Linked DNA regions of Drosophila melanogaster. The protein of the gene in region 2 interacts with the protein of the main gene of each other region in a pairwise test. Each region holds a gene or a part of one and is shown on either strand. Other genes may lie near its edges. The genes, in order: CG15136 and CG1552.

What was found.
Region 1: the proteins of CG1552 (region 2) and CG15136 interact in a two-hybrid assay, tested with the Drosophila melanogaster proteins (one large-scale study listed by BioGRID).

What each region holds. Positions count from the first base shown.
Region 1 is NT_033779.5:17,046,349-17,050,103, forward strand, and holds CG15136 (uncharacterized protein), read right to left. Parts: upstream 1,934-3,755; 5' UTR 1,781-1,933; intron 1,721-1,780; exon of another isoform or gene 1,718-1,720; 5' UTR 1,634-1,717; coding exon 1,423-1,633; intron 1,262-1,422; coding exon 900-1,261; 3' UTR 813-899; downstream 1-812.
Region 2 is NC_004354.4:11,051,441-11,055,283, forward strand, and holds CG1552 (uncharacterized protein), read right to left. Parts: upstream 2,117-3,843; 5' UTR 2,046-2,116; coding exon 1,898-2,045; intron 1,748-1,897; coding exon 1,594-1,747; intron 1,418-1,593; coding exon 1,165-1,417; 3' UTR 731-1,164; downstream 1-730.

The DNA.
Region 1 (3,755 bases), on a different chromosome or scaffold from region 2:
AATGAGACATTGCAAGGACACGAAAGTTTTCTCATTACTAGACACACACTCCAGCACCCAAACGCCTTATGAGTTTTCCTTCCTTATCCAAAAATTGAGTAAAACTAAAATAATCAAGAAACGAAAAAAATGAAAAGTTGTCGCCACTTTGCTAACAGACAATGCAAAAGTGTGCAGTCTAAGAAAATGTTCGAACTTTATTTGGACGAGTAAAAAAACGCTAGTTTAAATGAAAATTTAATTTGCATAGCCACTCGTATTTGAAAGTGAAGGTGTTTTTTAAATTCCACATGTTATTTTATTGAGTTTAAAAATTAGTTATTTAAGCCCGTACTATTTTCAGTGGTAGTTAAATCTGAAGGCAGTCCTGCTGCCATGCTACCCATAGACAGGTGAATCAAGCTTTCAGCTGCCATCCAGCGAGGAGAATTCTGCGTGCGGCAAAAGTTTTCATGCATATTCAACATCATTAGAAAGTCAGGACAAAGTAGCTGAAGGCAGAAAGGCAAGAGCCTTCGTGGAAAGTAAAACAAACCCGTTTAGGGCGCTAAAATGTAGGCTATAAATTATGTCATAGGTATAGTCGACCTTTCTCCACGGAGCTTCCTTTCTTCCAGTCTGCCGTAAGTGGGCTTGAAAGGAGTGCATTTAGAAAGTTCTGAAAAGCGTCTTAATTGCAACGACGTTGGAAAATACCTGTAGAATTTAATTCTTCGCGCTGGAAGCGTATTAAATTCAGAAAAAATGTAATTACTTACTAAAAGGGAAATCCCTTATAAGCACCTATGGTATAGGAAAAAAATACACAAATTGAGAGAGTAAGGAAGCAATTTACTGAGTTGCATGTAGGTGTGAAAACAAATGGAAAATAAATATATAAATTTGCCATTCCGTGGGACCTACATGACCAGACAGCACTTTTTGGCCGGTCTGGCGGAGTGGCGATTCTGAAAGCCATTCCTTTTTTCCTCATCTAAAGGTTCCTCCACATCACCCACAGTTTCGCGAACTTCCATTGCCTGGCTAACTGATGTGCTTCCTAGCTTGGGATCATAGGACTCGGCTCCGATATTCATGGCCTGGACTTCGTCAAACTCCAGTTCGCCAACCTCCTCCTCGCCAGGATCCAGGCTGTAAACGAAACCCGGATGGCGCAGACCCTGCTGCTGCTGGATGCTGGCCTCACGCCAGATGGACTCGTAACGGGGCTCGTAGCATATGTCCTCCGAGGTTGCCGTACTCCACCGGGTGTACGTAGATACTGCATGGGTATTAAATTTATAAATCCATCAGGAAATTAAAAAGAAATAAATAAATGCACAATACTAAAAACCTATGCAAGTCAAAGCATAATATATATAAAGGGCTTCAAAATACAATATATATTGTTTTAAATAAACATTATTTCCTTTCCGTACTTACACTCATCAAATAGCTTTTTGGCCACCTGGCTGGCCTTGAAGTCGGGCACAAACACAGGTGCGTTGGGGTTTAGGCGTCGGTCCAGCGGTCGGCTAACGACGGGGGGCGTGTCGCCCGCGGCGGGCGGAGGGCAGCTGCCAGGAGTCGAATGGGCGTCACCCACTTCCCCTGCAAGTTCGCTGGTCGATGCGGTGGCGGTGTCCTTCAACATGGTCAGCAGAGCACTTAACACTTGAATAGTTTTTCAAATCTACATTTGAGTTCCGGCCGGACGATTTCAAGTAGCTTTTCTATTCTGCTTAAATGCTCAGTTGACAATTATGGCAGGGCAAACTACCTGATTATTTGATTTTCTTACCGGTATTCAGTGCCAAATATTAATGAATGACCAAAGACAGCCGCTTCCAAAATATTTTGCCAAAACTTTGGTATTGGCCGATTTTTGCTATGAGGGTGTTTATCTCTCAACGTTTGTCTTCACGAAGTAATTTGTGTTCCTACTATTTTTAATGCTTGGCCTTTGAAATTTAATTGGATAAGTAATGAAAAGTCAACTACGATTAAAGCTACACTATTATTTACATACACAATTTATGATTGCAGAACGTACAACTCAATTAAATAGAAAACTATTTCAAAAAAAGTAAGTTAACCATGCTCCTTTGTCCCGATTCCTTGTAATTTCTTTGAAATGTCAAAGGTTATTTACCTCCATTCAATTTCTGTTAGATTGTTATTTTGAGGATTTATGGGTTTATCCATCTTATTGGGGCTTAACCCGAAAACTGCTTCAAATCCATGCATGCCATAATTCGATTTCATAAATTTGATTCCACTTTCAACTGTCATGTTTGCTCCGCTTTTCTCGTTGCAAATAAAGTTTGACTTTTAATTAAATGGCCGAACTTACAATAATTTTAATAAGCCGTATAAATAAATTATAACAAATTTCACACAAAGTGAGATAAAATTGCCTAAAACTCATCCTGACATTCCATCTTGCTGGTGCGTGTGTGTCAAATTTAATTTTGTGAATACCGCAAATTGACAAATATTTTCGTTTGGCCAACAAGAAGAAGACCAAAAGCACCCAGCACTCTAATTCAATCTGGCTGGTGTATTTTAATTGATTTGCGCTAAAATTTATTGATTTCATTTTGTCAACAGTTGTTGCCAGATGAACCGCAAAGAACGCCTGAAAACCTCAGACCCATTCACCCATTCAGCCATTTGCCCAACTTGAGCTCATTATGGCAGCTTCAGCCCCCTTGGAACCCAATATTTGCATTCATTTTGTGTGTGTGCTAATTTGCATGTGCGAGTGTGTTAAAACATAAATTAGTTGACTCTGCCGACACACCCACACAATCGAATAAAATAAAGAGAAAGGGGTTAGAGAAAGTTTCAACCGAGAACCGAGAATTTATTGCCAATTCATTGCATTCGCGCTGCTGTATCGAGCGATTTCGCTAACCGAACAAATAGCGGTTTTAACTGTTTTTAGTTAATTGCGCAAATTACTTGCGCTAATTTATTGGCCATTTTGTGGAATAGACAAGGTTTTTCAGCTTATAGGTTTAGTCCGACTAATTTGTTAGTTTCTGAAGGGATGTTTTTTTTTTTTTTGACTTCTTATTCTATACATTTTGTGTAAAAAAATACCATGTAGTTCTTCCTGTTTCAATAACACTATTAAGCCATTTGACAATTATCTTCGACAGTCATAAATCCGTTAAATTAAATAAAAGGCCAAAGTTTATTTAGCTACTCAATCAGGGACACAAACAACACTCAAATTGTTGGACAGTTTCAGATTCAAATGGCAAGCGGTGGTCGAAGGGCAAAGTAAATAGATGAAACGAAGTCTTCGCACTTTTGTAAAGTTGCTGCTCAGTGTTGGCGTATTTCCCTTGAAGGAGTAACGTATCATATCTTTTATTCAGCTTTGAATGAAGAAGTCATGTCAGAATATGCCTCAGATATAAACCGTTAATATAAAAACGAATAATATTAAATTGTATTATATTACATTATATTATTTGTGAAGGGAAAGTAGCCAAGATGACAGCTCTGGTCGCTCAGCAGTCAGTCAGTCACCCACTTGGTCAGTCACATGGGCTGCACATTCAAGTGTCACTGATTTGAGGATAAGCACTTCACAGGCAACTTGATAGCCCCCCAATCCGGACCCCCTCCATATATATATGTATATACATATATCTTTGTGTATGTATGTATGCTGTAGTGGCATTGGAGCGGTTGTGCCGTGTTCCGACGGGTTGCTTGGTTGCCTGGCCAGTCAGCCGTGGTCGGGAAATATCACAGCAGTACTC
Region 2 (3,843 bases):
AATATCTTTTTGCACACTTTACTTAGTTCTTACCCCCACTACTACCACTACTACGCCCCTGCCTTGTACCGCAACATTATGGCAGCTAACCGTGAGCCGATGATGCCAAGTATCCTTTGTATTTACTGCTGCGCCACAGCAAGGATACAGCCAGGATGGCAGCGACTGCCAGGACAAGGACAAGCCACAGAACAAGTGCAGAAACAGGAAGGGAAGCGATGGTAAGGGAACGAGTGGCAGAAGGAGAAGGAACTTTCAGCTCGACACTGGCTATCAAAAGTGTTGCTTATTAAAATAAAATTTATTGCTTGTTTGCAGATAAAAATGAAGACAAAGGCACCAGCACGAAGCTCCGAAGCTCTGCAGCTGCATCTGCTCCATAAAAGTGTTAAAACGATAAGCGGAAACAGGAAGCACTGCTGCAGGATATATCGCCACACCACACCACAATTCACCGCCCACTTTGGCCAAAAAAAAAAAAAATAAGAAATCGCAGTTTGGGCAGAGCACAGCTCTTGAGACTCCGAAAAAGCCCTAATGAAGGAAACCTGGGAAAAAAGGGCTGCAGCTACTTGGTCACGGCCTCAAAATAGCAATAGAAAAAAGTCCATCAACTTGGACTTTCGAGAGCCTGTCTAGACGAATTCCAAACGAGTGACAGTTTCAATTGGATATTGGAGAGATTCCACTGAGAAAAAGTGCGTAATGGGAACCTTAAACTCCAGAACATAATAAATCTGATTGTTTACTTTCACAAAAACGTTAAGCAACTTGTAAATTATAACTTAATTTCACATTGATAGCAGCTAGTTACTTGAAACATAATATATATAATATTATATTATATGTTCTTAAAAACTTTTGCTCATTAGTTTAACATTGAAACAATTTGATTGTGTTTTTTTTTTTTTTTGTGCTCAGTTTGATGAATACCAGCTTATATATGTTACAATCTAAATTATAGCCTACATACATATTGAGATTAACACAATCCAAATAATTTGATTTTGGATCCACTTCCGCTCAGTGTTGCGGTGACGCGACTTCCTTTTTTGTCCATTTTGACCGGTTGGTTCACAAATCGCAGAATAATTTGATTTGCTGGATTGTCCTCGTCGCGTCGTCCTAGTTGGCCATCCTGCCGAGCAAAACCATCCTGTCATCCTAGTAGTTGTTGTAGACAAACTCACTGAGGAGCGAGTTATTGGGACCGTCGCCACCAGCGGATCCACCGCCAGCGGATCCCGCTGAGCCGTCCTGTTTGTTGCGCAGCAGGCGGTGCCGGAAGTGCATGGTGCGCAGGCGCTGCATCCGACGCTTCAGGTTGCAATAAACCGGACAGCAGTCGGGGAAGGGCTTGTACATCAGCTCCTCCTCATCGCCCTGCTCGCATTGCTCGGGCAGGATGTCCAGGCAGCTGGAGGAGACACAGAACAGCGGGAGAGACAGGGCATTAGTTCAGGTTCCCTTCAACGGGCGTTTTTTTGGGATATTTCATGGGGGGAGAGGGTGGATTTCTAGGGCATGCTAGGTTGGGTTAGGGTGGGCATGGGTGCACATGCTTAGCTATATAGAATTGCATTGGTCAACTACTCATTCGGCCTAGACATTTTTTCCACTACGAAAATAGACCTGGAACGGGGCATTATGTGATTGTTCTCGCAGAAGAGATTCGAGCACAGGCTCAAAAGGACGAGGCGGCGGGGCAGAAACTTCGACTGCTCCCACATGCAGCGGCGAAAGGTTCCTGCATGGAAAAAAATAAACGTATCAATATTCAAAAAACTCAAAAACTGCTAGAATAAATGCATAATAGCAAGATGGCCAGCCCATATTTGCAAGTTACCAACTTTTTTCCTCTGTGTATCGAGTGGAATCTAAGAAGAAGAAAACTCACGCAGCACACTATTGTCATTCTCGCCGGAATCCTCCTGCGTATTGTAGTTACGCTGCAGCTGATAGTGCTTCATGTGGAACTGGCCGAAGCCAAGGACACCGACGAGGGCCAGGCACAGCAGGACCCAGATCTTCTCCAGCTGGTACATCTCGGTGACTCGGCTGGCGGGTGCAAACTACGCGCTAAGCTCACACCATCCCATAATGCTACACAAACCAAAAGCATTACGTATACGCAACGTCTGACGGCATTCTCATTGCCCTGCGGATGTTTGGGTGTGTGTGAGCGTTTGTGTATGTGTGAGGGTAGTGTGTGGGTAGTTAAATTGGCGTTTGTGCCACGGCACTTGATTAAATCAAGAATAAAATTGCAATGCAAATTTTGCGTTTTGCCCAGGCCGATGTCCATGTCCATGCCCCAAGCTCTCGCCCATGATTAATGCCCCCGATCCAAGCCAATCCCATCCCATCCCATCCCGTCACATCCAAACCGTTCCAATCCAAGTACATGCGAGGCGATGCTGTGCGACGAGAAAAACAAACCCAGATTGGACCCAAACAGTTTGTCATAATAATCGTTTGTTTTCCAGCAATCGCAATAATGTCAAGTGCAAGTTGTGTGACCCACTAGAACAGCAATAGCCCATGGAAATGGTGATCTGTTTGTTTTAGGCTGTGATTGTTTTTGAAAGTGATCACAAAATGCCTGAAATCATTAGCAAAGCTATAAATTATAAAATTAGTATTGATAAAAAAAAGCAATGTATCTAAAAATGGTATAAATCAACAATATAATTTGGAGACTAAAATCTGGTAATATTTTGCCAAAACAACCTGTTCATGTTTATTTCAATCTTCTGCTTCTGTAGAATTTATTTTGATAAACAAGTCCTTTGCTGATTTATTGTGGGGTTGACCTCACTTTGACCCATTTGTCGAGGAATGTTCCTCGTTGCATTCTCGGAAATGCGAGTACTCGAGGACCATCTGTTCCATGTCCTTTGCCCTCTGACCCCAGCCATTTCCGTTGCCTGTTTTCCCTTTTTGCGACTGTATTTTGCGGGGCGTGGTCTGTCAACTCATTAGCTGGGTCTTTATCCCCAACTCGCTTCTTGTGGCAACATCGTCCTGCCAACAACCTTAAGTAGCTTAAAAGCTTTTTTCCTGTGCTGTCCCATGCAAGACGCAAGAACTGCAGAAGTGCAAAAAGGAAAACGTCAACGATGCATTAGAAAATAATGTCTTAGTTGCGTCTGCTTTTTGTTTGTCACTCCTAGGGAAAACTATTGAAAGTATTGTGTTCGGTAATGAAAATAGCTAGCAAAATACCTTCCCAATTATCAAAATGGTTTGCATTTCAAGGAAATAATATAAGTTGGCATATTCCGATAACAATGTATATGGTTATGTGTTGTTGACCATGAGTTATATTCCTAGACCTGACTGTGAGAAAACTGCTGCCCTTTCCTCGATTTCTTTCACTTACTTGGGCCACATGTGCTCGCGGCACATTCCGGAAATTATCAACGAGGACTGTGACTTGGGATTAGCCCCAAAGTATTTTTTTTTTTTTTTTTGTGGCAGCTGCTTTCAGCAGTTGGCCCGCGGCATCTGGGAACCGGTAACTGGATAACTGGATAACTGGAACTGCATCTGAGCTGAGCTGCAGGATACGACCACAAACTGCAGCGGGATGAAAAGTAAAAGTTGCAACTCGGCCGCCTCGAATCGCTGCACGCACTAATACTACAAAACTTTGGCGCAGATCCACAAGTTAAAATGAAAGGAAAAAAAAAAAAACGTAAAGTGCGAGTAAACGCGGGAGAAGTGGAAAACAACATTTTCGAAAACTTCGACTGGCAGTTGAAGAAAACTGGCGTTTTCCCCGGCTCTAGCTGCTTGGTACTTCGTATTCCACTCCGGATTGAAAGGGATGGAAAGTAAAGG